Linked DNA regions of Macaca fascicularis. The protein of the gene in region 6 interacts with the protein of the main gene of each other region in a pairwise test. Links are inferred from orthologs where the notes say so. Each region holds a gene or a part of one and is shown on either strand. Other genes may lie near its edges.

Region 1 (3,750 bases), on a different chromosome or scaffold from region 6:
TGCTGGGGGCTGGCCGTGGGTCCCCGCCCTTGGGAATGGTCACCGAAGCCAGCCCAAAGGGTGACCAGACCCAGAGACACGCAAAGAAGCCCATCACACACAATTCAGGGCCAGGAAGAAGGTGGCACACGTGTGCACCCCCGGCCGGGCCGTCGTCCACGGGTGTGGCAGCAGGCTGGACAGGAGCACTTGAAGCCAGAAGGAAGGGCCCGTGGAGAGAGGGGCCCAGGGCTCACTTCTATTTTTTCTTTATATTTTCTTTATAGCTTTCTACATTTTCCAGATTTTCTTTTTTTCTTTCTTTCTTTCTTTTTTTTTTTTTTTTGAGTCTCACTCTGTCGCCCAGGCTGGAGTGCAGTGGCACAATCTTGGCTCACTGCAACCTCCGCCTCCTAGGTTAAAGTGATTCTCCTGCCTCAGCCTCCCAAGTAGCTGAGATTACAGGTGCCCACCACGATGCCCAGCTAATTTTTGTATTTTTAGTAGAGACGAGATTTCACCACGTTGGCCAAGCTGGTCTCGAATTCCTGACCTCAGGTGATCCACCTGCCTCGACCTCCCAAAGTGCTGGGATTATAGGCGTGAGCCACTGTGCCCGGCTCATTTTCCAGATTTTCTACAGTAAGCACATATTGCTTTTGTCATCAGAAATTAAGACTTTAAAAGGAGAATAAATAAAAAGGAACTTCCCTGGGGAAACAGCCCCAGTGGAGCCCAAGCCCTCTGCAGGGTGGGGTCAGGGGAGCGGGACACACGGCTGGTCCTGGAAGGTGACCCCCTCCTGGTGTCCAGCTCTGCGGGGAGAGGCCCTACCTCCTACTCCTCTGGTAGGAAGTTCAGAGAGTGCGGCAGACCACTTGCAAATCACCGCACAGGAGGCCAAGGGTGGAAGGCGCTTCCTCCCTCCTGCCCTCCCTCTGCTGGCCCCAGGATGTTTAGAAGCAGAGCTTTGCCAAGGCAATGAGATTTTGGGATGGGGGTCAGAGAAGCGGGTTAGAGCAGAGCTCCCTTCCCCAGGGCTGGAACCTGAAAAGGAAAGAAACGTCTACCCCGACACAAGCACGATTCCTTTATTTCGAGCCAGAAAGCAGCCAGCAAGCAAGTGCTGCCACCCACAACACCCTGGGCTACCTGCAGTCCTGTGCCTGACCCTGCAGCCTCGGGAGGGAGCTGTGGGGGGTCGCCCAGGGCCCACTTCCTGCCCCTACCCTGCCCTGCTCACTCCCAGCCGCTGTTCCCCTTCTCGAAGAGCAACCCCTGCTTGAGAACTCTGAGGAGAAACTTGCTTCTAATCCACAGGATTCTGCACTAAGAGCCCCCCCACATCCATCCTGGGGCACCCCAGCATATTCCACCCCTCTGCCCCGGGCACCCAAGGGGCATGGGCACGGCCAGAAGGCCTGTCAGGAGGGCCAGCAGCACCCCCGAGGCTTGTCCCCAAGGTTGGGCGGCTCGGGGCTGGTGGGCACGTTCTCCAGGACCTCACGTAGGGAGAATGTGCAAAAGGAAATCTCATCATAGGAGGTCCTGGCCCCACTCTCGTACAGGCAGGCAAAAACCAGGCCCCCCTCAGGGGCCGGCCCGACAGACGCCAGGTCGGAGTAGCCGCTGGGGCCCTCGTAGATCACCCAGGGCTCTGTCCAGCTGTGCGGGTCCAGCGGGGCCTGGCTCAGCCGGATACCCATGTGCAGCCGAGCCCTGCGCCCCACTGGGTGGGAGTACAGCAGCCACGTGGGGCTCTGGGGTGGGGCAGCAAAGGGCATGGGGAGCGCTAGGGTCCAGGACCCCACATCCCCACTGACCCCAGGCCTGGGGCCAGGCTGCCTGGGGCCATCCCCCTGAGGCTGCAGATGGCTGCAGGGCCCACCAGGCACCTGGGCTCCATGGGGGTCTCCGGCAGCCTCCTCTGGGGGTTCATGGACTCCAGGACCAAGGCGTGGAGGGTGAAGGGGACTCCCGGGGCCCACTGACCAACCATCATCCCGTGGCCTGCTGGGGGCGGGGGCTGGGAAGCCCACGATGCTGCCCTGGCAGCCCCAGGCGGTCTCGGGCAGGGAAGCCACACGCTCTGCGGGCAGGAAGGAGGTGCCCTCGTCAGTGCTGAGTGCCTGCACGCGGCTGCCCAGGGTGCTCCGGGCATTGCAGTAGAGGAAGCTGCCGGCCTGTCCACCATCCACTGCCGCCAGCTGGCACTCGCCCGAGCGCAGGTTGGGCACGAGGCCTCCACAGCGCCAGGTGCGGCCGTGGTCATCGCTGTAGAAGGCGAAGGAGTGGGGGCTGGTCCGGCAGATCTTGCCAAAACACTCTCGGCGGTCCACGCGGTAGGTGTAGGCGGGCACCAGCAGGCGGCCTGAGGGCAGCTGCACGCCGTGGCCGGGACCCACGGCGAACGTGGCCCAGTCTGTGGGGAGGAGGGCGGAGGTGGGAGGGGCTGCTGAGTCCCCGAGGTTGGGGGGGGCGGATGGAGGAAGGCACAGGGGTCGGGGAAGGCACAGGGGTCGGGGAAGGAGGGGCTGGTGCCTCGGGTTAGGACCGTCACACTCTGACCACCCTTCCACACAACTCATTGCAGCCGCCCTGAGTCCTCCCAGGCTGACAAGCCTCTCCCAGCCCTTAGCAGCCGCGCCCAGGTGGACAGCACCCAGGGAGGCTGGCGAGCACTGCCCATACAGATACAGCGGAGGGCGGGCAGGGGGAGTGAGGCCCTGCGGTGGGGTCCTGGGGTCCGCCATGTATCTGCTCCACTCCCTGCTGTGGCTCCCACAGGCCAGGGTCAGGTGGCCACAGAGGACGGGGTGGAGGGAAAGCTGTGGCGAGGCCTGGCCAGGCCCTAGGCGGGGTGAGAAGGGAGTAAAGATTAAGAGGAAGGGGTGGGGCAGGGTGGCTGTTGGTTTGGGAGCTGAGAGACACCTCAGCATTCAGCCTTCTCCTCTGCAGATAAAGGGATGACCTGGGGGGATGAGAGTCTGATCAGCCATAGAGGGCCTGCTCCTGCCCACCGGATGGACTGGGTGGCGACCAGTACCCATTTGCCTGGGACGGGAGGCCCAGGACAGTCCTGGGGAGAGGGCTGGTTGGTTCCCTTATGGCTGGAGGCAGGGGCGGTGGTGGGGCAGAATGGACTTTTCCAGCTGGAATCTCCCTTCCATGTGGACCGTGGCCAATCCGAGGGACCCAGACTGGCACCCTGCCCGCCTACCCTGCACGGCACCACCAATGGCCTCCTCGGTGAGGTCCCGGGCGCTGCCCCACGAGAGGCCGGCGTCACGGCTGGCCACGTAGCAGAGGCGTGCGGCGTTCCTTCCCGTGGCGATCTGCACGGCCTCGGGCGTGTGGCCCAGCACCGCGATGAAGAAGAGGAAGACGGTGCCTGTGCCAGTGTCGTGCACGGGGCAGGGGTTCATGGACCGGTGCTCTGCCAGGGCTGCTGTCCCCAGCACCTGCAGGGCGCCCCACTGCCCAGAGGAGGAAGTGCCACTGACTAGGATGTCCAGGGACCTGGGCACAGCCCCCCGTGGGGCACCCGAGACAGCTGAGCCTGGTTTGCTCATCTCTATCTCGGGCACCCGCCTGCCACCGCCACCCCCGCCCCTGTCCCTGGGTGTGCAGCCCCAGTGGGCCCGGCCACTCACCCGCACGGAGCCCCCGGCCCGCGTGCCCCTCCTCAGCACCAGGCGGTGGGCATGGGAGTCGTCGGGGCTGAGCCGCTGCTCCACAAAGGCCAGCAGGGTGGGCCCAGGGGGCACAGGG
Region 2 (4,282 bases), on a different chromosome or scaffold from region 6:
GAATTTAAGGTTCACCGTCTGGCAGTGTGGCTCATGCCTGTAATCCCAGCATTTTGGGAGGCCGAGGCGGGTGGATTCGTCGAGGTCAGGAGTTTGAGACCAACCTGGCCAATATGGTGAAACGCTGTCTCTTCTAAAAAATACAAAAAGTTAGCCAGGTATGGTGGCGCATGGCTATAATCCCAGCTACTCAGGAGGCTGTGGCGTGAGAACTGCTTGAACCTGGGAGGCAGAGATTGCAGTGAGCTGAGATCAAGCCATCGCACTCCAACCTAGGTGACAGAGTGAGACTCTGTCTCAAAAACAAATTTTTTTTAAGGTTCATATTTAAATTTGTTTGACGTGTACAAAGACCTTAGTTAACAGCAGAGACAGTCTTTAAAATAAATGTTGATCTGGTGCTTTTGACAGACTTTTTAAGGCAGTGGGTTCATCTGTGCTGTTGTGCTGTTTGTCTCACTGTCACTGTAGGTGAAGCCATTGGTATGGGTTTTCCTGTGAAAGTTCCCTACAGGAAAATCACAATTAACCCTGGCTGTGTGGTGGTTGACGGCATGCCCCCGGGGGTGTCCTTCAAAGCCCCCAGCTACCTGGAAATCAGCTCCATGAGAAGGATCTTAGATTCTGCCGAGTTTATCAAATTCACGGTCATTAGGTAAGTGAGAGTTTTCTGCTCAGTCACAGGAATGAGTCTGGAGCTCATGAGGTTGACTCATCTAAAACGCAGCCACAGGTAGTCATCGAATCAGGCTTCCTGTGCGATGCAATGAACAAATAAAGATAACTTGTTTCATCGTTAGAATGTTAGATGTGCCTCTGCCTAAGCCGACTCTTTTAATTCTTGGCAAAGGGTTGGCAAACTAGGTCTGTTCACCAAATTCAGCCTGCCTCCTATTTTTAGAGACTTCCTGAAACACAGCTACGCCCGTATTATCCATGGCTGCTTTCCTGTCACAGTGAGTAAATAGCTGGGACTGAGACGGCATGGCCTCCAAAGTCTAAAATATTTACTCTCTAGCACTTTATAGAAAAACCTTGGCCAGGCACAGTGGCTCACACCTGTAATCCCAGCATTTTAGGGAGGCCAAGGCAGGCAGATCACCTGAGGTCAGGAGTTCCAGACCAGCCTGGCCAACATGGTGAAATCCTGTCCGTACACAAATACAGCAGTTAGCTGGGCATGATGGTGCGTGCCTGTAGTCCCAGCTACTCGGGAGGCTGAGGCAGGAGAATCGCTTGAACCCAGGAGGTGGAGGTTGTAGTGAGCCGAGATTATGCCATTGCACTCCAGCCTGGGCGACAGAGTGAGACTCCATCTCAAGAAAGAAAGAAAAACTTTGCCAACCTCTGTCTTAGGGCGCCGTGTCACAGGCTTTGGCTCAGACGGATTCAACCTCGCATCAGCCATTTGTTAGCCTCGTCACTCTGTTCCTTGTCTGTAAATGAGAGTGACCATTGTTACCACGGAGAGTGTCAGTTCCCTCCCGTAGAGCAGGCATGATGATTGTACTCATCCTCTAACACCATTTGAGCGCCACATTCCTTCCTGTGTCCTTGTTACCATAAGAGACGCCCACCTAGGCCGGGCGCGGAGGCTCACACCTGTAACCCCAGCACTTTGGGAGGCCGAGGCGCACGAATCATGAGGTCAGGAGATCGAGACCATCCTGGCTAACACAGTGAAACCCCGTCTCTACTAAAAATACAAAAAATTAGCCGGGCGTGGTGGTGCGTGCCTGTAGTTCCAGCTACTCAGGAGGCTAAGGCAGGAGAATGGCTTGAACCCGGGAGGCGGAACTTGCAGTGAGCCAAGATGGCGCCACTGTACTCCAGCCTGGGCGACAAAGTGAGACTCCGTCTCAAAAAAAAAAAAAAAAAAGAGACGCCCACCTGAGCACCAACCCCAGGTTATCTTCCTCTTTTTCTTCCAGCGCCCCAGAAACTTAGCTACAACTCAACCTACCCAATCAGTTCATCATTAAACTGCCACTGTCTCTAGTTCACATCTCTTAGGACTGGCACTCAGAAATCTCATAATAAATCCTCTTGAGGCTTCTTCTCATTCACTCGTCTTCTTCCAACCTTCTTTCCCTCAAAATCTCATATTTTTGTTCCGCTTCCCCATGGTCATTCTCCATATCATTCCCAGGAGTTAGGCCAAAAGCCCCTTGCGTTCTTCCATGCATTGAACTTAGAATCACTCTGTTTCCTGCTCTGGCGTTTCTGTTTTTTGTTTTTCCTCCATTTACTGAGTAACATTTTCTAACAGTGTTCTTATTATGGATACGTATCTATCTCTTCCATAAGTTTATAAGATCGTGGATAATACTTCTCACTGTAGTACGTAAATGACATGGGCTAGATATGAGTTGAATAGACAGTTATACCTGTAAATCCTTATAGAGTGAAAATAAATTATTATACTTTACAATTTGTTTCTCTCTTTAGACCATTTCCAGGACTTGTGATTAATAACCGTGAGTATTTTGTGAAGCGTTTCTGTTTTTTCCCCGGGTCTGACATATGTGCGTGTGAGTGTGTATATGTGTTTAAAGTATATCACGTTCCTTCACCTATGTCAGCAGCCGTGCCAGATACTTATTTTAGCCCTCAGTAAAAACACCAGGCACTTCCAAGTTGTAAAATTCTTCAAGCTTCTTAACTTTTCCTATCCTCGATGTGCTTAATCATAAAATGGTAATAATAGCACTGATTCTGGGGGAGTCGTTCCAGTAGATGGAAAGCATCTAGAACAAGTGTCAGCAAGCTCCTGCCGAGGTGTGTGCATAAAGTTTTATTGAAACCACCATCGTGTTCATTTGTTTATGGCAGAACTGAGAGGTGGCAACAGCAAGTGTGTGCTTGCAAAACCTAAAATGCTTACTGATTGGCTCTGTAAGAAAAGAGTTTGCAGCCCCCTAACCTAGAACAGCATCTAGCCTATAGTATGTGCTTAGCCTACGGTATGTGCTCAGCGAATACAATCTATATTTATTACTGCTTTTATGACTGTTATAATGACTGTGCTTGGATTTCGTGCCAAAGTCAGTCACTTAATGTGCCTGCTTCTATTACTATTTCAGCACCGCGTCTGGCACACATTGGGCTTTCAAATATTGTCGAGCGGGTGAACAACTGTCCTTTCAATGCCTTAACATTGATGTCATTTTCAGTAGTATTTTAAGCCAAACTTAGTTTTCCAAGTGTGTTTTTGTTCTCTTAACTTTATTATTAAAAATGTATAAAAGTGAGGCCAGGAGCGGTGGCTCATGCCTGTAATCCCAGCAGTTTGGAGGCTGAGGCAGGCGGATCACTTGAGGTTGGGAGTTTGAGACCAGCCCGTCCAACATGGTGAAAACCTGTCTCTACTAAAAATACAAAAATCAGCTGGGTGTGGTGGCAGACACCTGTAATCCCAGCTACTTGGGAGGGTGAGGCAGGAGAGTCGCTTGAATCCTGGAGGCGGAGATTGCAGTGAGCTGAGATCGTGCCATTGCACTCCAGCCTGGACAACAAGAGCAAAACTCTGTCTCAATAAATTATTTATTTACATAAATAATACATACATAAAAAAAATGTTCTCTTTTGTTCCTGTTCTTGTGCGGTAGTGTGGAATAGAGTTTTATGGTAATTACTATGAATTAGTGATTCTGAGGACCGTATCAGAACTCTGAGGTTTGTATCCTTCTCATCTTGAGCAAATGTATGTTAAAATGCTTGTCAAAGGGAACAACACGTCCTTACATTATTAAACCAATCTGCTTCATTTTCAGAGCTGGTTGATCAGAGTGAGTCAGAAGGCCCCGTGATACAAGGTGAGTGAGGCAGGGGAGGGCCCGGAGCTACTCCTGCCACTCAGTCGCCTGCCCTGAGGGGACTCAGTTACACAGCGCACACATGCTTCTCTGTGGTTTTCACTCCTGGGTTTGACAGCTGATCAAAACATAAATTCAAGCTGTGGGTCCTGATTGAGAACAGGGGGCTGCAAACCATTTGCACCCCCTATCCCAGCTCAGGCCTAACATCAGGAACCCCAGGATTAATGGATAGGATGAAATGGCAGAGAAAGAGGGTCGTCATTTTAACCTGACTCTGTGCCGTCCGTTTCTAATGTCTGCCATAAGTGATTGAGCAAAATGTTCTTGAGTAGAAATGTACAGATTATGCTTTTAAAAAATTCCTTAAAAAACAAGTGGAGGCCGGGTGCGGTGGCTCAAGCCTGTAATCCCAGCACTTTGGGAGGCCGAGGCGGGCGGATCACAAGGTCAGGAGATCGAGACCA
Region 3 (4,890 bases), on a different chromosome or scaffold from region 6:
GGGCAACAAGAGCAAAACTCCGTCTCAAAAAAAACTAACTAGGTGTGGCGGTTTGTGCCTGTAGTTCTAGTTACTAGGGAGGCTGAGGTAGAAGGATGGCTTGAGCCCAGGAAGTCGAGGCTGCAGTGAGCCATGATTGCATCACTGCACTCCAGTCTAGGGTACAGAGTGAGACCCTGTCTCTACAAAAAACGGTTTTTTGGCTGGGTGCAGTAGCTCACACCTGTAATCCCAGCACTTTGGGAAGCCGCGGCAGGTGGATCACCTGAGGTCAGGAGATCGAGATCATCCTGGCTAACACGGTAAAACCCCGTGTCTACTAAAAATACAAAAAATTAGCCGGGCACAGTGGTGGGTGCCTGTAGTCCCAGCTACTCCGAAGGCTGAGGCAGGAGAATGGTGCGAACCCGGGAGGCGGAGCTTGCAGTGAGCCGAGATCACCCCACTGCACTCCAGCCTGGGCGACAGAGCGAGACCCCGTCTCAAAAAAAAAGAAAAAAAAAATTAGCCGGGTGTGGCGGTGCTTGCCTGTAATCCCAGCTACTAGAGGCAGGAGGATTGCTTGAACCTGGGAGGCAGAGGTTGCAGTGAGCCAAAATCATGCCAGTGCACTCCAGCATGGGCAACAGAGCGAGACTCTATCTCAAAAAAAAAAAAAAAAAAAAAAAAAAAAAAAAAAAAGAAAGGTTTTTTGGAATGAATAAGAGTAATTTGTAAGAATAATAAAAGCAAGTACATTTATTCTGGTCCACAGTTCCTGTTACTGAATGAATGAGTATTTCAAATTCACTCAGTAAAATTCACCAGTAAAATTTATTATATGAATGAGTGAATGAATGAATTGGACAAATTTTGAGCACTCAGTGCTGAGCACTAGGGACATAAACATGAACCAGACAAAGTCCCTGTTGTACTGGGGCTGACGTGTGTGGGTGAGACTGAGGAGAAACAAGATGAATGGATGGATGAATTAATGATAGGATGAATGAATGGATGGATAGATGGGTGGATGAATGGATAGATGAATTAATTAATGAATACAAGAATGGATGAATGGATGGATGGATGGATGGATTGATAAATGTTTAGGTGAATAAATTAATGCAAGAATGGATGAACAGATGGATGGATGGATAGATGAATAAATTGATGAATGTTAGAATGCATGAATGAATGGATGAATAAATGGATAGATGGATGGATAATGGATAGATGAATAAATAAATGAATGCAAAAATGGATGAATAAATGGATGCCGGATGGATGGATCAATGAATTGATGGAAGATGGCTAAATGAGTGGATGCATGGATGGATTAATTAATGGATGGATTAATGAATGCAAGAATGGAAGGATGCATGGTTGGATGGTGAATGGACAGATGAATGAAAGGAAGGATGAATGAATGGATGGAAGGATGGATGACTGGTCTGGGGTCTCCACCCGTCATTACTGCTGGGTGGCTAGGGAAAGTGAAGGGGGGCAGCAGACGCATCTGAAGTCGTAGTACCTCTCCCGGCCCCGCAGCCGTCTTCACGTTGGCCGACAGCGCTGCTCACCTGGCCGCCTCCCCTTTAAGACGCACACACCTGGGCTCTCACCTGGGCGCAGGCGCTTCCGCAGGAAGAAGGAAGCGGCGCCGCTGTCGCCTCCCGGCGCTCCCTGCCCGCCTCCTAGGTCCCTCAGCTGCCACCATGTCCGCCTCGGCTGTCTTCATTCTCGACGTCAAGGGCAAGGTGAGGCTGGGCATGAGGAGTTGGGAGACGGACAGGTGAGGTCTCGCTCCCGGGGATTCAGGGGCGACCCCTCCGCGCAGGCCACGGAGGCCCCAGCAAGGGGCCTGGGAACAACCCCCCGCCCCCGCAATCCCTGGAAATCCCGGGTCAAATCCCACCTCCAGCATTCACTCGCTTTGTGCCTGAGGCCAAGGCGATCGCCTCCCAGGGCCTCAGTTTCTCTGTATGTAAAAATGGGAGCAACAGAGGTCCCCACCCAATGAGAATTAATACAACTCGCTGCGTGTAAACTACTTAGCACAGTGGCCTTTCTGGAAATATTAGGGACTCAGCAAATTGAAATTATCTCCATCACCGTCGGCATCCACAGTGTTAATACCTGGGGAAGGCAGCTGGAACAGGGGCCTCTAACTCCCCCGATCTGTGGCTGCCTTGCCTCTTCCTGAAGTCCTTTTATTCCTCTTGTCTTTTTTAAATTTGGAGACAGGGTCTCTTGCTGTCTCCCACGCTTGAGTGTAGTGGTGCAATCATAGCTCACTGCATCCTGAAATTTCTGGGCTCAAGCGATCCTCTTGCCTTGGTCTCTGGAGTAGCTGTGACTACACAGGTGCAGGCCACCATGCCTGGCTAATTCTTGACATTTTTTTGCAGAGGGATCCCGCTATGTTGCCAAAGCTGGTCTCAAACTCCTGAGTAGCTGGGGCTGCTGGCTGACCCCTCCATGCCCGGCTTTTTTTTGAGGTGGAGTTTCACTCTTGTTACTCAGGCGGGAGTGCAGTGGTGCTATCCTGGCTCACTGCGACCTCTGCCTCCTGGGTTCAAGCGATTCTACTGCCTTAGCCTCCTGAGTAGCTGGGATTACAGGTGCCCACCACCACACCAGGCTAATTTTTTTGTATTTTTAGTAGAGACGGGGTTTCACCATCTTGGGCAGGCTGGTCTCAAACTCCTGACCTCAGGTGGTCTGCCCGCCTTGGCCCCCCAAAGTGCTGAGATTACAGGCATGAGCCACCGCGCCCAGCCATGCCTGGCTATTTTTAATTTTTTTTTTTTTTAATGGAGTCTTGCTCTGTCACTCAGGCTGGAGTGCAGTGGCTCCATCTTGGCTCACCGCAACCTCCACCTCCCAGATTCAAGCAACTCTCCTGCCTCAGCTTCCCGAGTAGCCGGGACTACAGGTATGTGCCACTGTGCCTGGCTAATTTTTGTATTTTTATTTTTTATTTTTTTGAGATGGAGTCTCACCTTGTCGCCCAAGCTGGAGTGCAACAGCATGATCTTGGCTCACTGCAACCTCCACCTCTCGAGTTCAAGTGATTCTCCTGCCTCAGCCTCCTGAGTAGCTGGGATTACAGGCGCGTGCCATCATGCCCAGCTAATTTTTTGTATATTTAGTAGAGATGGGGTTTCACCATGTTGGCCAGGATGGTCTCAATCTCTTGACCTCGTGATCCACCCACCTCGGCCTCCCAAAGTGCTGGGATTACAGACATGAGCCACTGCGCCCAGCCACATCTGGCCTATTTTTATTTTTTTGTAGAGATGGTGTCTCGCTATGTTGCCCAGGATGGTCTTGAACTCCTGGGCCCCAGCTATCCCCTGCTTCAGTCTCCCAAAGTGCTGGGATGACAGGTGTAAGCCACAGCAGCCAGCCTGTCCTGTCATTTAATAGCCAAAATAAGAGTGGCGATGAAAATAATATTCCCGTTAATATTAATAGTGAGAACTAAGATGTTTGAGAACCTGCCATGGGTCCTCCCTGTTCAGATGCTGGACGAAACAACCTTAGGAAGTAGTAACTCTTTTTTTTTTTTTTTTTTTTTTTGAGACGGAGTCTCGCTCTGTCACCAGGCTGGTGTGATTTCAGCTCACTGCAACCTTCACCTCCTGGGTTCAAGTGATTCTCGTGCCTGAGCCTCCCGAGTAGCTGGGATTACAGGCATGTGCCACAACACCCAGCTAATCTTTATATTTTTAGTAGGGACGGTGTTTCACCATGTTAGCCAGGATGGTCTTGATCTCTTGACCTCATGATCTGCCCGCCTCAGCCTCCTAAAGTGCTGGGATTAAAGGTGTGAGCCACCACGCCCAGCCAGAAGTGTTCACTATTATGGATGGCTTCCTACCAGGCACAATCATATGAACAATCATTTTTCTTTTTCCTTTTTTTATCCTTCTTCCTTTCCTTCCTTTCCTTTCTTTTTCTTTTCTTTCCTTCTTTTCTTTCTTTCTTTCTCTCCCCTTCCTTCCTACCTTCCTTCCTACCTTCCTTCCTACCTTCCTTCCCTCCCTCCCTCCCTCCCTCCCTCCCTCCCTCCCTCCTTCCTCCTTCCTTCCTTCCTTCCTTCCTTCCTTCCTTCCTTCCTTCCTTCCTTCCTTCCTTCCTTCCTTCTTTTCTTCAGGGTCTCACTCTGTTGCCCAGGCTGGAGTGCAGTAGTATAATCACAGCTCACTGCAGCCTCAACCTCCTAGGTTCAATCGATCCTCCTGCCTCAGACTCCAGAGTAGCTGTGACTACACAGGTGCAGGCCACCATGCTCAGCTAATTCTTGAAATTTTTTGTAGAGGAATCCCGCTATGTTGCCAAAACCAGTCTCAAACTCCTGGCCTCAAGCGATTCTCCTGCCTCGGTCTCCCGAAGCAGTGGGATTACATGAGTGAGTCATTGCACCTGGACTTTTCTTTCTTTGTCTTTTTCTTTTTTTAAATAATCCCACTTTGGTGCAAATGAAGTCTGGGGCAGCAGCAGGGATTCTGGACCCAGGATGACTTAGATCAATCGCCAGTTTCCATATGCTTCCAATGGACATGGTTTCTAACCTCACTTCTCCTATGTGAAATTGAGATGATGATAACATCTACCCCACAGGGTTGTGGCAAGAACTAATAAGTTAGCAAACATCTACTCTTGTTTTAGTTGCCTGCCTTCCTGCCTGCCTGCCTGCCTGCCTGCCTTCCCTCTCTCCCTCCCTTTCTCTCTTTCTTTCTCTTTCTTCTTTTGAGACGGAGTCTTGCTCTGTCGCCAGGCTGGAGTGCAGTGCCGCGATCTCAACTCACTGCAACCTCCGCCTCCCAGGTTCAAGTGACCCTCCTGCCTCAGCCTCCCGAGTAGCTGGGACTATAGGCGTGCATCACCACATCCGACTAATTTTTT
Region 4 (4,282 bases), on a different chromosome or scaffold from region 6:
CAGCCATGGGCTTCCCTCCCTCCCTCTGCAACCATGATGCCCTTTCTTATTCCACAATCCACGGACCTCCTGTTTCCAAAGTCGGCCTCGTGAGCCGACTGCATTTCATCAAAAATAAAGCACACTGAGAAATTCGTGGCCACGTGTCTGGTCACCGAGGACACTGGCGTGGCCACACTGGGCTGGAAGGAAGCTCTCCTAGTAGGAAGCTTCTCCGCTTTATCTAGCTGGCTTCTTACACCACTAACCACCACTAACCACCTCCTCTTCAGCGCTCCCTTCCGCTTCCGGGAGGCTGCGCTCGGGGGTTTCCTCCTGTTTCTCGCACCGCCTGCTCTCCTCCCTTTCTGCCCTCCTCAGGGCTGTGGAGTGGCTCAGGCCTACGTGTGCCTCCCCATGCTGTCACTCTTCCCAGGTGGGCTTTGACTCATGTCCATGGGCCGGTGACTCTCGACTTTGTCCACAGCACTTCTCTGGAGATCCACTGGCCTCTGGGACACTAGGGAGGTCCCGCCATCACCACAAATTCAGCATTTCTCTGAATGCATTCCCTGTACCTGCTCTCTCTCCATCTCAGTGATGCCATCACCCATTCAGCCACCTGCACTGGAGACCTGGACATTATCCTCGCTTCCTTTTTCTCCTCACCCCCATATTCACTCCACAAATGTTTACTGAGCACCTACTATGGGCCAGGCCCCGTTCTGGGTGCTGGAACACAGCTGTGAATGAGACAGGAGTCATCGCTGTTCTCAGGGGATGTCAGACAATAGACGAGGATACAGATAAATGTATAACGCAGCAGGTGATAGGGATAAAGCAGGGGTCAGGGTGCAGAGGGATGGGACATGATCTCAGCCAGAGCAAGCAGGAAGGACTTCTTTTTTTTTTTTTTTTTTTTTTTTGAGACAGAGTTATGTTCTATCATGCAGGCTGGAGTGCAATGGCACAACCTCGGCTCACTGCACCCTCTGCCTCCTGGGTTCAAGTGATTCTCCTGCCTTAGCCTCCTAAGTAGCTGGGGTTACAGTCATGCACCGCCATGCCTGGCTAATTTTGTATTTTTAATAGAGATGGAGTTTCACCATATTGGTCAGGCTGGTCTCAAACTCCTGACCTCATGATCCGCCCGCCTCGGCCTCCCAAAGTGCTGGGATTACAGGCGTGAGCCACTGCGCCCAGCTGGGAGGACCCTTAGAGGAGGTATCATTTGAGCTGAGCCTTGGGAAGTGAGAAGAGCCAGATCAGGGCAAAGGCCCAAGGTGGGAACAGATGTGGATCACTCAGAGACCAGCTAAGGGGCCCGGCTGGAGGGGAATGGACCAGGGCAGCGCAGGCAGAGAGGCGTCAGAGACTGTGAGGAGCCAGACCACGCCGGTCCTTGGGAGCCACGGGGACGGACTTGGGCTTTGTTCTCAGTGCCGGGGAGGCTGGGGTAGGTGGCAGTTCAACAGTGGGAGAGAGACCCCATCTGGCCTCTGTGTGGGAAGAGCCCTGCCACCCTTTGTGAGGAAGGACCTGGGGGGGTCAAGAGTGACAGCAGGGGAAGGGGCTGGTCCCTCAACACGTCATCACCTGCCTCCCTCCAATCAGTCCCACAGGCCACGAATGAGACACTAGGAAAGGAAGGTGCCACCCTCCACCACCCCCAGTCTCTCCTTAAGAGAATAAAGTCAGCGTGTAATGAAATGCCAAGTTCTGAGGCAGTTGGTTCCCAGGATGGTCAGCACCGCAATGGCCTTCTCAGCGCGTTGCCGAGTCCTGCAGCTGGCTGTCCTGCAGGCCCCAAGAGCTGCAGCTGCTCCAAGCAGCATCTCCAACCGCAGCCGTGCCCAGGCTAGCAAAACTTCCGACCTCCTTTTTTTCTTTAATGAGATGTAATTTGCACTAATAGCCTGCACTTATCTAAAGTGTGCAATTTGATGAGCTCAGTCATGTGGGAAGCCATAACCACACATTCCATCGCCCCCGAAAGCTTCCTCACGCCCTTTTGCTGTCCAGCCCCATCCCTACGCAGCCACCGATGTGTTTTTCATCACCATTTTCTGGGCTTTTATACACGTGCGGTCATACAGGATGAGCGCTCGTCTGTCTGGTTTCTCTCAGCCAGCACAGTGATTCTGATGCGCCCGCGTATCGGGAGTCCGAGCCCTTTCGTTGCCGAGGCGTGCTTCTCATGGTGTGCACGGACAGTTTGTTTCTAGTTCACCTGCTGAAGGACATTGGCATTGTTTCTAGTCTGGGTCTGTTTCAGTTAAAGCTGCTGTTAACATTCTTGTGCTAGTCTTTGTGCAGACATGTGGTTTCATTTCTCTTGGGTAAATACCAGAGAGAGGAATGACTGGATCGGATAGTAACACTGGGTTTCACTTTTTGAGAAACTACCAGACTGCACCAAAGTAGCTGTCCCATTTTCCTTTCCTCTCAGCAGTGGACAGGGTTTCTGGGTGCTGTATATCCCGACCCACAGGCTATGAAAGAGAGAGACCAGCAAGAGGGCTTCTCCTCTTCAGGCCACCGGTGGACTTCAGTCAATACGAATCTTCAGCGGGAGTGGGCGCCCTGACACAGGCGGGAGAGCAGGGTGCGTTGGCCCGGCAAAGGCTCTGAGAAGGTCTGCGTTGAGAGCTTGTGAGGCATTACTTAACCTGATGTCTCTGAATGATTCGGTCCTGGACCTTTGCCGCAGAGTTCCCCTCTACCCTCACCCTGCAAAGAACTGCAGTGGCCCCTGTGGACGTTCACACTGGGAGATGCTCTTCTCCAGGAATTCCCTGGGGGATGGAGATCAGCACGGCCTCGAGTCCTGCTCTTTTGCGGATAGGGGCCATGACCGGAGTCCCCAGAGGGAAGCAGGCTGGTGCATCTCACCCCCTGCCCCAAGCCCCTGGATTGTAGAATTGAAAATGCAAGCATCATTCCTCTTCCTTCCCCACCCCAGGTGCTCATCTGCCGGAACTACCGTGGCGACGTGGACATGTCGGAGGTGGAGCACTTCATGCCCATCCTGATGGAGAAGGAGGAGGAGGGGATGCTGTCGCCCATCCTGGCCCACGGAGGGGTCCGTTTCATGTGGATCAAACACAACAACCTGTATCGTATCCCTTTACTGGGGCGGCTCCCAGGAGACTCCTGTGTGGGTGTTGGTGTGTGTGCACGTCCACACGCCTTCAGCCGGGACTGGTTTGTGCACAGCGGGAGCATTGGATACAGCCAAGCCCTCCCGGAGCTCCCTGCTGCCTGCAGAGACAGGCAGAGAATGCACGATGACACGCGTGATGGGTGCGGGGAGAGGAGCAGGTGTGACTTGAACTTCTTTGGCCCAGGGGCCCAGGAAGGGAAGTGACACCCTGGAGGAAGCCTGCAGGGAGGCCTGGCGTCTGCCAGCTGGAGGGGCAGGCAGGCACTAGGCGTGGGTGAAGGCTCTGCAAGGGAAAGGCTCATTCCAGCAGCTGCAATCGGGGTGGCTGGAGCCCTCGAGAGGGGGCGTGTGGCAGCAGTGAGGCCGGAGTGGTCAGCGGGGTCTGGGGTCTCAAAGAACATCATCTGAAATGTGACAGAAAGTCTTTGGAGGCTTTTAGATGTGCATCTTCTGGAGGTTTCTGGCTGCTGAGTGGGGCAAGACTGTGGGGACAGGAGAGGACATGGGTAGGTGAGGAGTAGGCTGGGGCCATCGTGCAGGTGGGAGGGGAAGTGGCCTGGACCACGGAGGGGTGGTAGGGTACAGAGAAGGGGAGAGACTTCTCACAGCCCCACCCAGATCTCAGAGTCCCCCACCCTTCCTGTCCTTGGGCCCATGGGGAGACTTGGCCAAGCCAGTTTCTATCCAGGAGGTCTAACTGGCCACCCCACGGCTTTGGGCAGACCTGCAGGCCCATCTCAGTACCCACACTACTGCGGAAGGGCCTGCTTTGCAGCCACAGCCTGGTTTGAGCCCCAGCTCCAGCAGCCATGGGGCTGGAGGCGAATCCCTCACCTTCCCACAGTTTGGTGGGAACAACGACCCCTCGCTGCAGGACCATTCGGGTCAGTTGAGCTGACTTGTGCACATTGCTCCCAGCAGACATGGGCTCTCTGCCCTTTCCTGTGTTCTTGGAGACACTTGGGGCCTTGCCAGTAGTACAGTGTGGCCAATGGGCCAGAACATCCCCTGGGAGCCCTTTGGAAATGCAGAATCCCGGGCTCCACCCAGCCCTGCCCTGTCAGAATCTGCATTGTAGGAAGATCTGTTCTTGGTGACTCGTGTGCACATTCCCATGTGGGCTGTGCTGGTCCACGGCTC
Region 5 (3,432 bases), on a different chromosome or scaffold from region 6:
TAGTAGTTCAATTAATAGAGAGTAGAAAGGTGGTTGCCAGGGTGTGAGGGGAGGAGGGGATGGGAGGAACTTAATTGGTACAGAATTTCAACTTGAGATGATGAAAAGTTCTGAACAAAATGGATAGTGTTGATTATTGCACAACAGCATAAGTATACTTAATGCCACTGAACTGTATACTTAAAAATAGTTACAGGCAAAATTTTATGGTGAGCCTGTTTTGCCACAATTTTAAAAAGGTGAAGTATCCCTCTCCTCACCAAAAAGATGAATTTAAAAGGTAATAGAGACACTACAGTTTACTAGACCTTGCTCCTTAAAGTGTAGGCAGTAACCGCACCTGGAAGGTCATTAAAAATGCAAAATTTCAGTCCTTACTCCAGATGTATTCAATCTGCATTTTATCAAGATCATAGAATGATTTGTATGCACTTTAAAGTTTGAGAAGCAACTGCTTTAGATAATACCTTCCCTGCCTATATGTCACACGTAAGTTATAAACATGTTGTTATTGATCTATCCCCTAAGCCCTCAGGAGATCTGGATGGAGGTAGGTTGAGGTGGCCAGAACCTCCAGCCACTCTTCTCGGGTTTTCACCTTGTGTGAAAAAGTTGGGAAACACTGCTTTGGCTTATTTTCATTAGTATAAATGCAGATTGGTTTAATGAAAATGAACAGTTGTATCTAAAGAAAATATATGAAGATGATGAACTTTGTGGAGCATACTAGGTAGCTAATGACTGTTGGCATGGCCCTGAGGATTTTAGATTAAGGTTATAAATGTCATCAACAAATCCAATTTTATTATATGCTTTAGAATGGATATGGCTGGTTTTATGTAACCAAAAACTAGTTTGGCTTCTAGATTCTTGGACATTACACAACCAATTATATTCCATTGTTTTAAGTATTTGCAATAAATTAACAGATTCCAGTATATTGTAATAGTTGTAGGTTGATATATGCAATAAAACTGAATAATTTAAACACTTGTCTTTTTTAAAATGATGAGCAGTGTATTGTTCAGGGATTGAATCATGGTTCACCATCTACTTTATGACCTTGGGTAGGTTATTTACCTGTAGTTTCTTTAACTGTGGATATGATAATGGTACCCCAAAGGGTGCTCAAAAGGATTTTAAATGAGTTGAACAAGTGAATACCAGTACTCACTATTAAAACAGCACCTTAACCCATAAGGAGGAGTCTTTAAAAAATGTTAGCATCTGTAGTCATCATCACCATTATCGCTATATACTTTGTACTTCAAAACATGAATATTCTCAGTTTTCAGAATGTTATTTTGTTAGTCATCTATATTTGAATACCTCCTTTGAGTTCTGTTTTATTATGCCTTTATTAAAAGTTGGTAAAAGGAAATAGCTATCTAAAAAACATTTTTGTTGGAAGATACTGTTCATTTTATATTTGTTTGATTTTATTGTTCTTTAGAGTTTGTCTTTCACTGTTAGCAAAAGATGTAGTACAAATGTTTAAATATGCATGCCCTCTATATTTAAAGCACTTACTAGGTACTGTGTTATTAGTAAAACAGTCAAAGTGGAGTCCTTTTTCCTGTGACTAGCTTGCAGTTTTAATAAATTAATACATTAATATGTTGTTTCTTAATTTGTTCTAGCATTTGAAACAACAACAGGAAGGCCTTAGCCATTTGATTAGCATCATTAAAGATGATCTAGAAGATATAAAGCTGGTCGAACATGGATTGAATGAAACCATCCACATCAGAGGTGGTGTCTTTAGTTGACAGTTCACAAACTTGTGTAAAGGTTTGTGAAATTCATCTTCTTACTGCATCAGCCCTTCCTTAAGAATGAAACCGACCACGTGGAGGGAAAAAGAAAACAATTCTCTCTTGGCTTGGTTTTTTGAGAAGTTTACTGACAAATTACTGTCCATCAAATCTGAAATACAGTCACCTCACAGCTCTTCAAAGAAAACCTTTGAAAGATTTATATCTAAAAGCTGTATTTACTTTAAAAGGAGAAGTGCATAATTACCAAAATTATATGTACTATTGTACATTTTTACAACAGCATTTTCTTGAACATCATCTGTTTAATGATTATTGTCCACTGAGCCTGTGCTCTGCTTTCCATACCAATATGAAATAATCTTTGCACATAACAGAAGAAACTATAATTACTTGGCTGTTGGAGATTTGTACTTCAGAGTATAAATGTACACCAGTTTTTCTATTTGTGAACTCATCTGTGGGAGGAGTAAAGAAAATCCAAAAGCATTTAATGTTTTTTTTTTTGTTCTATAAAGATTTGAAAATGTATTTTTATATTATTTTACTTATTTGGAATTTACAGAGCACACCTAAGCAATTAGGATATAACAAAATTAACCATTTTTGCAACCATTTTGTTTTTTAAGCCTTTTTATTTCTAAAAAGATGAAAACTTATAAATAAATTCTTAATTTGTAATTTTATAAAATTTTGTCTGGTGCTTTATTTGGCTTTTGAGGAATGACCATTTTTTGTCCACATAGGTACTAAATTAATAATCACAATTCAGGAATTTTAGTCTTAAGTCTGATTTTTCCCTCCTAGGGATTTTTGTCAGTGCTGATATAATCAGCACAATTTGATTAGGGTATGGCAAATAAAACTTACTTCAGATATCATCTAGTATTAAGAATTCCCTAATACGTCATTAATATTTGAAATACTAGAAAATCTGAGTTAAACAGATTAAATAGTGTTAAATAGTGGGTCTTTAACCAGTGGGTCATTTTAAACAGTATTTCTGACTACACACTGTATGTTTGGGCTGCATCATCTTTGCCGCTCTTGAGATGCTTTAACTTTGCACTTCTCTGTGATGCTTTGGTTTATATTGACAGGTGTTACAAGTAACAGCCCCATGAATCTTGGTATTGTATTTACTATGGGGATGGTGAACAGTGTGATGCACTGTATATCTGGAGTCCATCCTCTGAGAACCCACTGAAGAGATTTATGCTCAGTTGTATAGGTTACAGTTGTGTAGACTAGGATATTTTGTGGTTTTTGTTTGTTTGTTTGTTTTTTTGACAAGTCTCTCTGTCACCCAGGCTGGCGTACAGTGGCATAATCATGACTCACTGCAGCCTTGACCTCCTGGGCTTAAGCAGTTCTCCCACCTCAGACTCGAGTAACTGGGACTACAGGCATGCACCACCACAATGGGCTAATATTTTTTATTTTGTGTAGAGATGGGGTCTTGCTATGTTGCCCAGGCTGGTCTTGAACTCCTAGACTCCAGCAATCCTCCTGCCTTGGCTTGCCAGAGTGCTAGGATTACAGGCCTGAACCTCTATGCCTGGCCAAGACTAGGAACTTTAAAACTGATTGTTTCTTTCCAAATTGACTGCCAGAAGTATGCAGCTGCTTTTGCCAAGTTTATGGCATGTAAATTTGT
Region 6 (4,724 bases):
CTCACTGCAACCTCCACCTCCTGGGATCACGTCATTCTCCTGCTTCAGCCTCCTGAGTAGCCGGGATTATAGGCATGTGCCACCACACCAGCTAATTTTTGTTTTTTCAGTAGAGACGGGGTTTCACCACATTGGCCAGGCTGGTCTCAAACTCTTGACCTCAGGTGATCTGCCCACCTCCGTCTCCTAAAGGGCTGGGATTACAGGTGTGAGCCACCATGACTGGCCTATCCTAGCCTTTTTTTTTTCTATACATATATAGTCATACCATATACTATATTGTTTTGTATCCTATTTTTACTTAACACTTTATGAATTTTCTGTCATAAAATATTCTATAACATTATGCAGCTATCTGATTTACCATAAGTGTTTACATTATCTCTCTTTATACCTGGCTTTCCAATTTCCCCTATTCCTCTATTTTAATAACAGAGGAAATAATAATACATGAGTATGTTATACAAAATTTTAATGTACTTCTGATCACTTTTTTAAGAATGAAGTTTTAAAATACTTAAACACTTTCTGACTCACAGAGTTCATGGGCAAAATGTGAGAAAAATAAATAATCACTTTGCTCTCCATCCTTCCTTACACCCTGAAATTAACCTTAGGGACAGCTAGTTCATTTAACCTCATCAATCTTGTTCTCCAGTTCCAGGTCCTGGAATCTAGGTCTTAGTTTCCGAAAGAAACTTACTTTTGTGTAAGCACACCTATTATATACTAGGCACTTGACCTAATTTATCTGGTTTACGCTTCACATGCCCGAGAGAGATACTATCATTGTCTTCATTTCACAGATAAGAAGATTGAGGAGACATTAACTTTCCCAGTCACATTCAGGGTAGGGATTCAAACTCACATCCAATGCCTCCTCAACCTCTTTTACCTGCACCACTATCCTCTAGCCCCACTGCCCGTATATAGGCCTGGGTTATATCACCATTGTCCGCTCTTGAGCCTGGAAGGAAAATGAGCTGAGGGGTTTTGTTTTTCACAAAGGAACAGGATATTTCATCATCTCTGTGTTTACGTTTTTCAGAGAATTTCTGTGCGAGGTAACAAATCCATTGTCAGCTTTTTAAATATATTCCTTTGGAGTAGCCACTTAACATCCTCTGAGGCCCAGATGGGCCAGCTTTGCTGGGACCATGGGAAATGTTTGGGGCTGGAAGGCGGCAGAGATTACCGCCTTGCTAGGTCTCCCGCGCACCCCGATGACGTCACGCGGCGACGTTCTCTGACGTCAGAGTTTCCTGCCCACCATCTTTGTCCCTGGCAAAGTGGGTTTTGCGCAGTGGCTTAGACCTAGAAAAGAATCGTGACGGGCAGGAAACCATTACACCACCACCCGGGCTGTGCTCTCCGGCTCCCGCCGCCACCCCCGCCCTCGACTTCGCCTCCGCCTCCGGTGAGTTCAGGGAGGCTGCCTTTGGGGTGTGTCCCTAATTGACGGGGTGGGGGACGAAAAGAAGGGGAACCCCAGGCTGGGTCGAGGACCGGCGGAAGCGAGGATATCCTAAGAGCGTGACCGTTGAGGATACAGGGAACCGTCGGGTGTGACCAGTGAGAGGAAAAAGGTTGGAGAAAGGGTCTCCACCATGATGACTGTGGTGCGGTGAGGGAATCCTCGGGTGTGGCAGCAAGTAGTTGGGGGCATGAGGGTAAGATGTACTTCGGAATTGGGGGTTTAGGAGGACCAGAGGCCAGGGGTGTGGCTGATAGAGCCTGGAGGCCGTGGGGGGAACCGTCTTTCTTCCCCGCTCGGCGTCGTTCACTAAGAGTCACTAAGAGTCTGAGACGTGTCCAGCAAAAGCGAAAGGGAAAAACCCGTTTGCTCATTGATGGGCGAACGTCGTCTGTCCAGTAACTTGAGGGTAAGAGACAACCTCTTCCCTGCTCCGTAATGGAGGAGCATATCGCTAGAATCTTGACCACCTGGGGAAAGAAGAGGCATTCCTGACTCTTGGAGGAAGAGTAACCTCCAGAATTGACCCGATGTAAGAGAGGGGGAAGCAAATGGGGGTAAATCTTAACCCACCTTTTTTTTTTTTTCTTCTTCTTTTTCTGGGCTCTGCGGGAATGGTCTGGCTTGGGAAAGGCTGTAGATTAAGCTGAAAGTAAAGAAACTGGAACTTACTGTTATTTCCTTATCATTTGAATCCAAATAATTTGTTAATGCTGCTTATTTTCAAGAGCAGTCTTCTGTTGGAGGGGTGGGGTGGGGGGACAGGCTTTCATTGAACTCACGCGGATGCTTCATTAAACGTTTGACTTTTATTTTATTTTATTTTTATATTTTCAGTGACAGGGTCTTACTGTGTTGCCCAGTCTAGTCTAGAACCCCTGGGCTCAAGCGATCCTCCCTATTCGGCCTCCCAAAGTGCTGTGATTACAGGCGTGAGCCAGAGCGCCCAGCCAAACTTGACTTTTGAAAAGAAAAAATGTTTTGAAAACCGCCAAAGACTTATCGTAACCATTGTGGTTTAAAAGAAAATGCATTAAACTTACAAAGGCAGAATGACTAAGAAAGAAGGTGGTCTCAATGAGAATCAATTTAAATTATTAATTACCTTCCTTGTATACTTGAATTGCTTAGCCTCAGGGTACACTTACAAAGTAATAATAGAAAGTAGCAGATGAAGGAGGTGCAGCTCTATAAGAAAACGTGTAACACATTCCAGTGATGACTAAGCGTGCTGGTAAGGTGAGAACTGTTTGCAGGTATCTTAACCGTTGAAACTTTCAAGGAAGCAGAAAGGGTGATGTATAATGCAAGCATCCTCACTAAAAGCTGGGTGGTAAAATCAATATAAATCTAATATTCTGACTGTGTATGAAGAAACTCAAGTCCAGTTCTTTCATTCTTTCCGTCCTTAAAAGATCCATATTTTGAAGTACTAACTTTTTAGGCACAGGTTTGAACCAAGCTGAGCAAGGAATATATTAAATAGGGCACCTTCTCCTTTCTCTTGTCCTTTCTTTCCTTCCAGGCTTAAGTTTTCCAGAGTTTAATGTTATTTTGGTTAAGAATTAGATGTAGGCCGGGCGCGGTGGCTCACGCCTGTAATCCCAGCACTTTGGGAGGCTTTTGAACTCCTTTGCTTCTATATAATATTAAGAAGCTACTTTGTAGTCTAAGTAGAAATCACAGGTGATTTTAGCTTTTGTGTCGTAATTTCTTATGAGAAAAATAATACCTGATGATGCTATTGTCTTTGCATTATTACTGAATATTTGATTAGAAATGAATTTGGCACCTCTCACCCTTACAATAAAAGATTACTGGAATGACATTTCTGCTTTATAATTTGGTTAACTTTGTTCTGTTTTTTACTGTGAGCACTGAGCTTTGTAAAGTCCAACTTTGTGAAAAGAAGGGTTTAGGGACTTTACGAACTAATTTGGCTTCCCAGAGAGCCATTTGAATTAAGATCCTATTAATTTTTTTTGACCTTATTCTACCCAAGGTATTAATCTTATTTTGCTGCTCAATTTCTCTTTTAGGGAACTGGAGGGAGGTATAGGAGAGGAGGGACTTTGACAACCTATATTTCATAGAAACTAGGTTATGTTAAATCTGGATATGTAATCCTGTGCAGGGAGGCCTACTCCGAAATGCAGTGACATCACACTCTGGTCAGGGCAAGTAAGAGTGATTATGTGCTTTGACTCTGGCAGCTTTGTTGTTTAACAATGGCCTTAGGCCATATCATAAATCCTCAGAACAGCCGTGACTTGTCTGGTTTGATCTGGTAGAAAGGTAGTGTGAGTTCAAATTCCGTCATGGCTTTGCTTATTTCTCTGGCTCTTCTGAAGGAACATTTTCTCCCCCAAAGGAGCAGCTTGATTTTTGAGGCACTTCAGCAAATATTTGAGTTTTTTTGTTTTTTTTTTTCTTGAGCTCTATTTTGTTTACTTTTTCTGTTACTTCTAATGAAGATGTCAGTTTTTGCCATCCTGTATTTTGGAGACTCTGGCTATGTCCATATCTAGCATGTGATTAAATGTGTCTCTCATTATATGAGGTAAGAACTCACTATATGAGAGATACACTTAATCATATATATGTGATTTTTTTTTTGAGGTGAAATTCACGTACCATAAAATGAACCAGCTTAAGGCATACAGTTCAGTGGAATTTAGTACACTGACAGTGTTGTGCAACAATCATGTCTTCTATTTGTTTTTATTTAGACTATTTTCATTTTTCTTGGAGTTTCTTTTGGCTTAAGGCAAGAACCAGCTTGGCACCATGTTTCTCTGCCAATATGGATAGGGAATATTGTTTACAATAGTGTTGCTTACTACAGTGATATCCCTTCTCTTTAGAGCAGCAGGGACTCTTAATTTAGAATCTATGTTATGGGCGTCTAAAGATACTTGACCCTCCTCTCTTCCCTGAAATTTTGTGGGTGGGTGCATTATTTTCTAGTTAAGATGAAAACACTTAATGCTCACAGTGAACAGGACAGTAATATATTCCTTGACATTGAAATTGTTACAGATAATGAAATATGTGAGCTGTTAAAGGCATGACTTAAGACTTAGGTTAATTTATTGTTTAATAGAATGTAGTGAAAATTCCTGTAAAGAATTTACTCATGCCTGTAATCCGAGCACTTTGGGAGGCCGAGGTTGATGGATCACTTGATGTCAGGAGTTCCAGATGAGCCTGGCTAACAAGGAAAACCCCCTCTCTACTAAAATACAAAAAT
Region 7 (2,945 bases), on a different chromosome or scaffold from region 6:
TCTCCATGTTGGTCAGGCTGGTCTCGAGCTCCTGACCTCAGGTGATCTGCCCGCCTCGGCCTCCCAAATTGCTGGGATAACAGGCATGAGCCACCGTGCCCAGCCAAAGGTATATACTTTTCAAAGTATTCAGGAATAAATCTAAATATTCCTGAGTACTTCCAGGAATTGCTAGAAAGACAACATATAAAACCAAACTACTTGAATACTTTGTAGCCTCTAAAAACAGTTATGAGTTCCATGAATAATCTGTAAAAGTCTTCTGGTTGATCAGCATTAGTTCTAAATGATGTTATCAGACTATGTAACTTCAAGTAATTTTTTTTTTTTGAGATGGGGTCTCGCTGTATTGCCCAGGCTGGAGTACAGTGGTGCCATCTCAGCTCACTGCAACATCCACCTCCCAGGTTCAAGCAACTCTCCTGCCTCAGCCTCCCAAGTAGCTGGGACTATAGGCGCTCGCCACCATGCCCTGCTAGTTTTTGTATTTTTAGCAGAGATGGGGTTTCACCATATTGGCCAGGCTGGTCTCGAACTCCTGACCTTGTGATCCATCTGCCTCGGCCTCCCAAAGTGCTGGGATTACAGGCGTGAGCCATGGTGCCCAGCCCAACTTCAAGTAATCTTCCAATCATTATTTCTATTTTTGAGATACTGGTTCATAAAACATCAAATATCCATGAATCACAGTGCTATCCACTGGCAGCATGGCAGTGAACTACAATGAAAACCAGTTCTACAAAAGACACTTTGAACACCATTGTTTCACACCTTTAATACTGTCTTAAAGGGTCTATTACTCTTCAACTATCTTAGTGTACTTTGAAATATAAAAGTAATAATTATCATTGGAACAGTTATTCTAAATCTAAATAACTCCTATAGTAATATTTGTTTACTCAGAACATATTTTCATTTCCAATATATGTAAAATTTCTCACAAATATAGAACAGAACTCACAGTTTGAACAGAAACCTCAGTGTTTAAATCTCCACATTCAGTAAAATAAACACTACATAGTAGGTTGTTCTGAATATAAATCACTCATTTAAGTAAATGGGATATAATTTCTAACTTGTGTTAAAAGTGAAGAAATCATTTTTTATGTGAAGCCTTGCCCCAACTCAGTCAAGTGCAAGATTATCATATGATACAAATCAAACTCTACTAACACAGCACATTTGTCAGAGACATTGAAGGCAGATACATAACTACAGCTGGGGAACTGGATGTCCTTCAGCTAGAGGGTAATGAAAGAAAAAAGCATATCATAGATCAGGCCCCAGTTTTAATTACTTCATTGATGACAATGCCTTACTTTATTTATTGAAGAATGTTTCTTCCACTGAAAATACACTTCTAATTTTATAATGCTAGACAGTAGGGGGAAAAATAGGAGCCCATTAAAAAAAAAAATCCACTCTTAGAATCTAAAGTTATTGATATTGATCAGATACGCAATGACTCTTTTCTGCTGTGAAGACAATCAAATCTTTTTTTCTTTTTAAGTACTGACTTGCCAATTTATCTTTGATAACTGATTCAGAAACATAAATGAACCATGTGACTTTACATATGAGAATATGTACATATATATATATATTCTGAGAAGTTATGTCCCATGATCTGACCCATACTTCTGATTTAAAATATAACTAAGTTCTCTCAATAAAACAGTACTAATTTTAAGTTTTAAACTGAAGTCACCCTTTTACCACACTGTTCTCATTCTCTTTACTTTTTATTTTTACATTATTTCTATAAATACTAAAAAAGAAAAAACCCAAATCCCCAGTCTTGAAACCAACTTACATTAGAGGTCTGACGTTAGTTTATAACTTTTAAAATATTTTGTTAAAATGTAAAAAACCTGAAATTACAAACAAAAAAATTTATACTTTTACAGTATATATCGAATTTTTTTAAAAAAATATTCTGAACTGTTTTTATATATGTAATCAAGTGTTATTTTTTTAAATGAAACTCCTTTATAGGCTAGAGAAGGATATGTGGTATTGCCCCATTAGAAATCAATATGCATTTCATTTTTTTATGCTGGTACTTCAACTATTTCAAAGTAGTCATTTGGTAGAATCACATAACCTCTTTCTGATACGTCGTCTTTCTCTTTCTGGAAGTGAACAACCTCCTTTAATTTTTCAAGCTGCCGTTCTTGCCTTCTGCATCGCTGCTGTGCGGTCTTGAGCTTCTTTCTGAGTTTTTCAACTTGCTGTTCTAGCTGATGAATCCTTTTCCGCTGATGCATTGTATCCTCCACAGTATAGTTGTGGTCACAGAAAACTGAGAGATTAACAGGGGTCTGAAGAGGTGGCATTAGTAATCCAATAGCAGCATCAACCTGGGAAACAGGAGGCGGTAAAGGTGGTGGAGGAAGCTGTTCCTGTGGCTCCAGATCTTCTTTCTAAAACAAAAGTACAAAGTATGTTTGAATTTAGTAACTAAAAATAACAGTTTAAAACAATTTGTGGACTGACCAGGGGTAGTGGCTCACGCCTGTAATCCTAGCACTTTGGGAGGAAGAGGTGGGCGGATCACCTGAGGTCAGGAGTTTGAAACCAGCCTGGCCAAACATGGCGAAACCCCGTCTCTACTAAAAATACAAAAATTAGCCGGGTGTGGTGGTGTATGCCTATAATCCCAGCTACTCGGGAGGCTGAGGCAAGAGAATTGTTTGAAACCAGGAGGCGGAGGTTGCAGTGAGCCAAGATCATGTCACTGCACTCCAGCCTGGGTGACAGAGAGACTCTGTCTCCCAAAAATAAATAAATAAATAAATAAATAAATAAATAAATAAATATTCTGTGGAATTTAAGAAATATTAGACTTTTGTGGTGAATCAGTGGTACAGAAACATTCCAAAATGAGAAAACAGTTTCAGTTTGAATAAACTTTTCTACCTGCAATAAAGGGACGGTGCAAGAAA

What was found.
Region 1: the proteins of AP2B1 (region 6) and NEU4 interact in binary tests that used the Homo sapiens proteins (3 or more experiments, as listed by UniProt). The two-hybrid records come from large-scale screens. The link is inferred for Macaca fascicularis from reciprocal best matches to the Homo sapiens genes AP2B1 and NEU4.
Region 2: the proteins of AP2B1 (region 6) and GTF2I interact in binary tests that used the Homo sapiens proteins (3 or more experiments, as listed by UniProt). The link is inferred for Macaca fascicularis from reciprocal best matches to the Homo sapiens genes AP2B1 and GTF2I.
Region 3: the proteins of AP2B1 (region 6) and AP1M2 interact in binary tests that used the Homo sapiens proteins (3 or more experiments, as listed by UniProt). The two-hybrid records come from large-scale screens. The link is inferred for Macaca fascicularis from reciprocal best matches to the Homo sapiens genes AP2B1 and AP1M2.
Region 4: the proteins of AP2B1 (region 6) and AP1M1 interact in binary tests that used the Homo sapiens proteins (3 or more experiments, as listed by UniProt). The link is inferred for Macaca fascicularis from reciprocal best matches to the Homo sapiens genes AP2B1 and AP1M1.
Region 5: the proteins of AP2B1 (region 6) and NUP54 interact in binary tests that used the Homo sapiens proteins (3 or more experiments, as listed by UniProt). The two-hybrid records come from large-scale screens. The link is inferred for Macaca fascicularis from reciprocal best matches to the Homo sapiens genes AP2B1 and NUP54.
Region 7: the proteins of AP2B1 (region 6) and THAP1 interact in binary tests that used the Homo sapiens proteins (3 or more experiments, as listed by UniProt). The two-hybrid records come from large-scale screens. The link is inferred for Macaca fascicularis from reciprocal best matches to the Homo sapiens genes AP2B1 and THAP1.

What each region holds. Positions count from the first base shown.
Region 1 is NC_088386.1:137,751,343-137,755,092, reverse strand, and holds the end of NEU4 (sialidase-4), read right to left. Parts: coding exon 3,633-3,750; intron 3,456-3,632; coding exon 3,200-3,455; intron 2,402-3,199; coding exon 1,404-2,401; 3' UTR 1,055-1,403; downstream 1-1,054. UniProt on the Homo sapiens protein: Exo-alpha-sialidase that catalyzes the hydrolytic cleavage of the terminal sialic acid (N-acetylneuraminic acid, Neu5Ac) of a glycan moiety in the catabolism of glycolipids, glycoproteins and oligosacharides.
Region 2 is NC_088377.1:53,638,037-53,642,318, forward strand, and holds part of GTF2I (general transcription factor II-I), read left to right. Parts: intron 1-471; coding exon 472-655; intron 656-2,448; coding exon 2,449-2,477; intron 2,478-3,773; coding exon 3,774-3,815; intron 3,816-4,282. UniProt on the Homo sapiens protein: Interacts with the basal transcription machinery by coordinating the formation of a multiprotein complex at the C-FOS promoter, and linking specific signal responsive activator complexes.
Region 3 is NC_088393.1:11,138,178-11,143,067, reverse strand, and holds the start of AP1M2 (AP-1 complex subunit mu-2), read left to right. Parts: upstream 1-1,621; 5' UTR 1,622-1,694; coding exon 1,695-1,736; intron 1,737-2,816; exon of another isoform or gene 2,817-2,914; intron 2,915-4,890. UniProt on the Homo sapiens protein: Subunit of clathrin-associated adaptor protein complex 1 that plays a role in protein sorting in the trans-Golgi network (TGN) and endosomes.
Region 4 is NC_088393.1:16,522,973-16,527,254, forward strand, and holds part of AP1M1 (AP-1 complex subunit mu-1), read left to right. Parts: intron 1-2,941; coding exon 2,942-3,098; intron 3,099-4,282. UniProt on the Homo sapiens protein: Subunit of clathrin-associated adaptor protein complex 1 that plays a role in protein sorting in the trans-Golgi network (TGN) and endosomes.
Region 5 is NC_088379.1:57,767,399-57,770,830, forward strand, and holds the end of NUP54 (nucleoporin p54), read left to right. Parts: intron 1-1,640; coding exon 1,641-1,769; 3' UTR 1,770-2,466; downstream 2,467-3,432. UniProt on the Homo sapiens protein: Component of the nuclear pore complex, a complex required for the trafficking across the nuclear membrane.
Region 6 is NC_088390.1:41,889,057-41,893,780, forward strand, and holds the start of AP2B1 (AP-2 complex subunit beta), read left to right. Parts: upstream 1-1,310; 5' UTR 1,311-1,586; exon of another isoform or gene 1,587-1,670; intron 1,671-4,724. UniProt on the Homo sapiens protein: Component of the adaptor protein complex 2 (AP-2). Adaptor protein complexes function in protein transport via transport vesicles in different membrane traffic pathways.
Region 7 is NC_088382.1:46,374,301-46,377,245, forward strand, and holds the end of THAP1 (THAP domain-containing protein 1), read right to left. Parts: intron 2,424-2,945; coding exon 2,052-2,423; 3' UTR 761-2,051; downstream 1-760. UniProt on the Homo sapiens protein: DNA-binding transcription regulator that regulates endothelial cell proliferation and G1/S cell-cycle progression.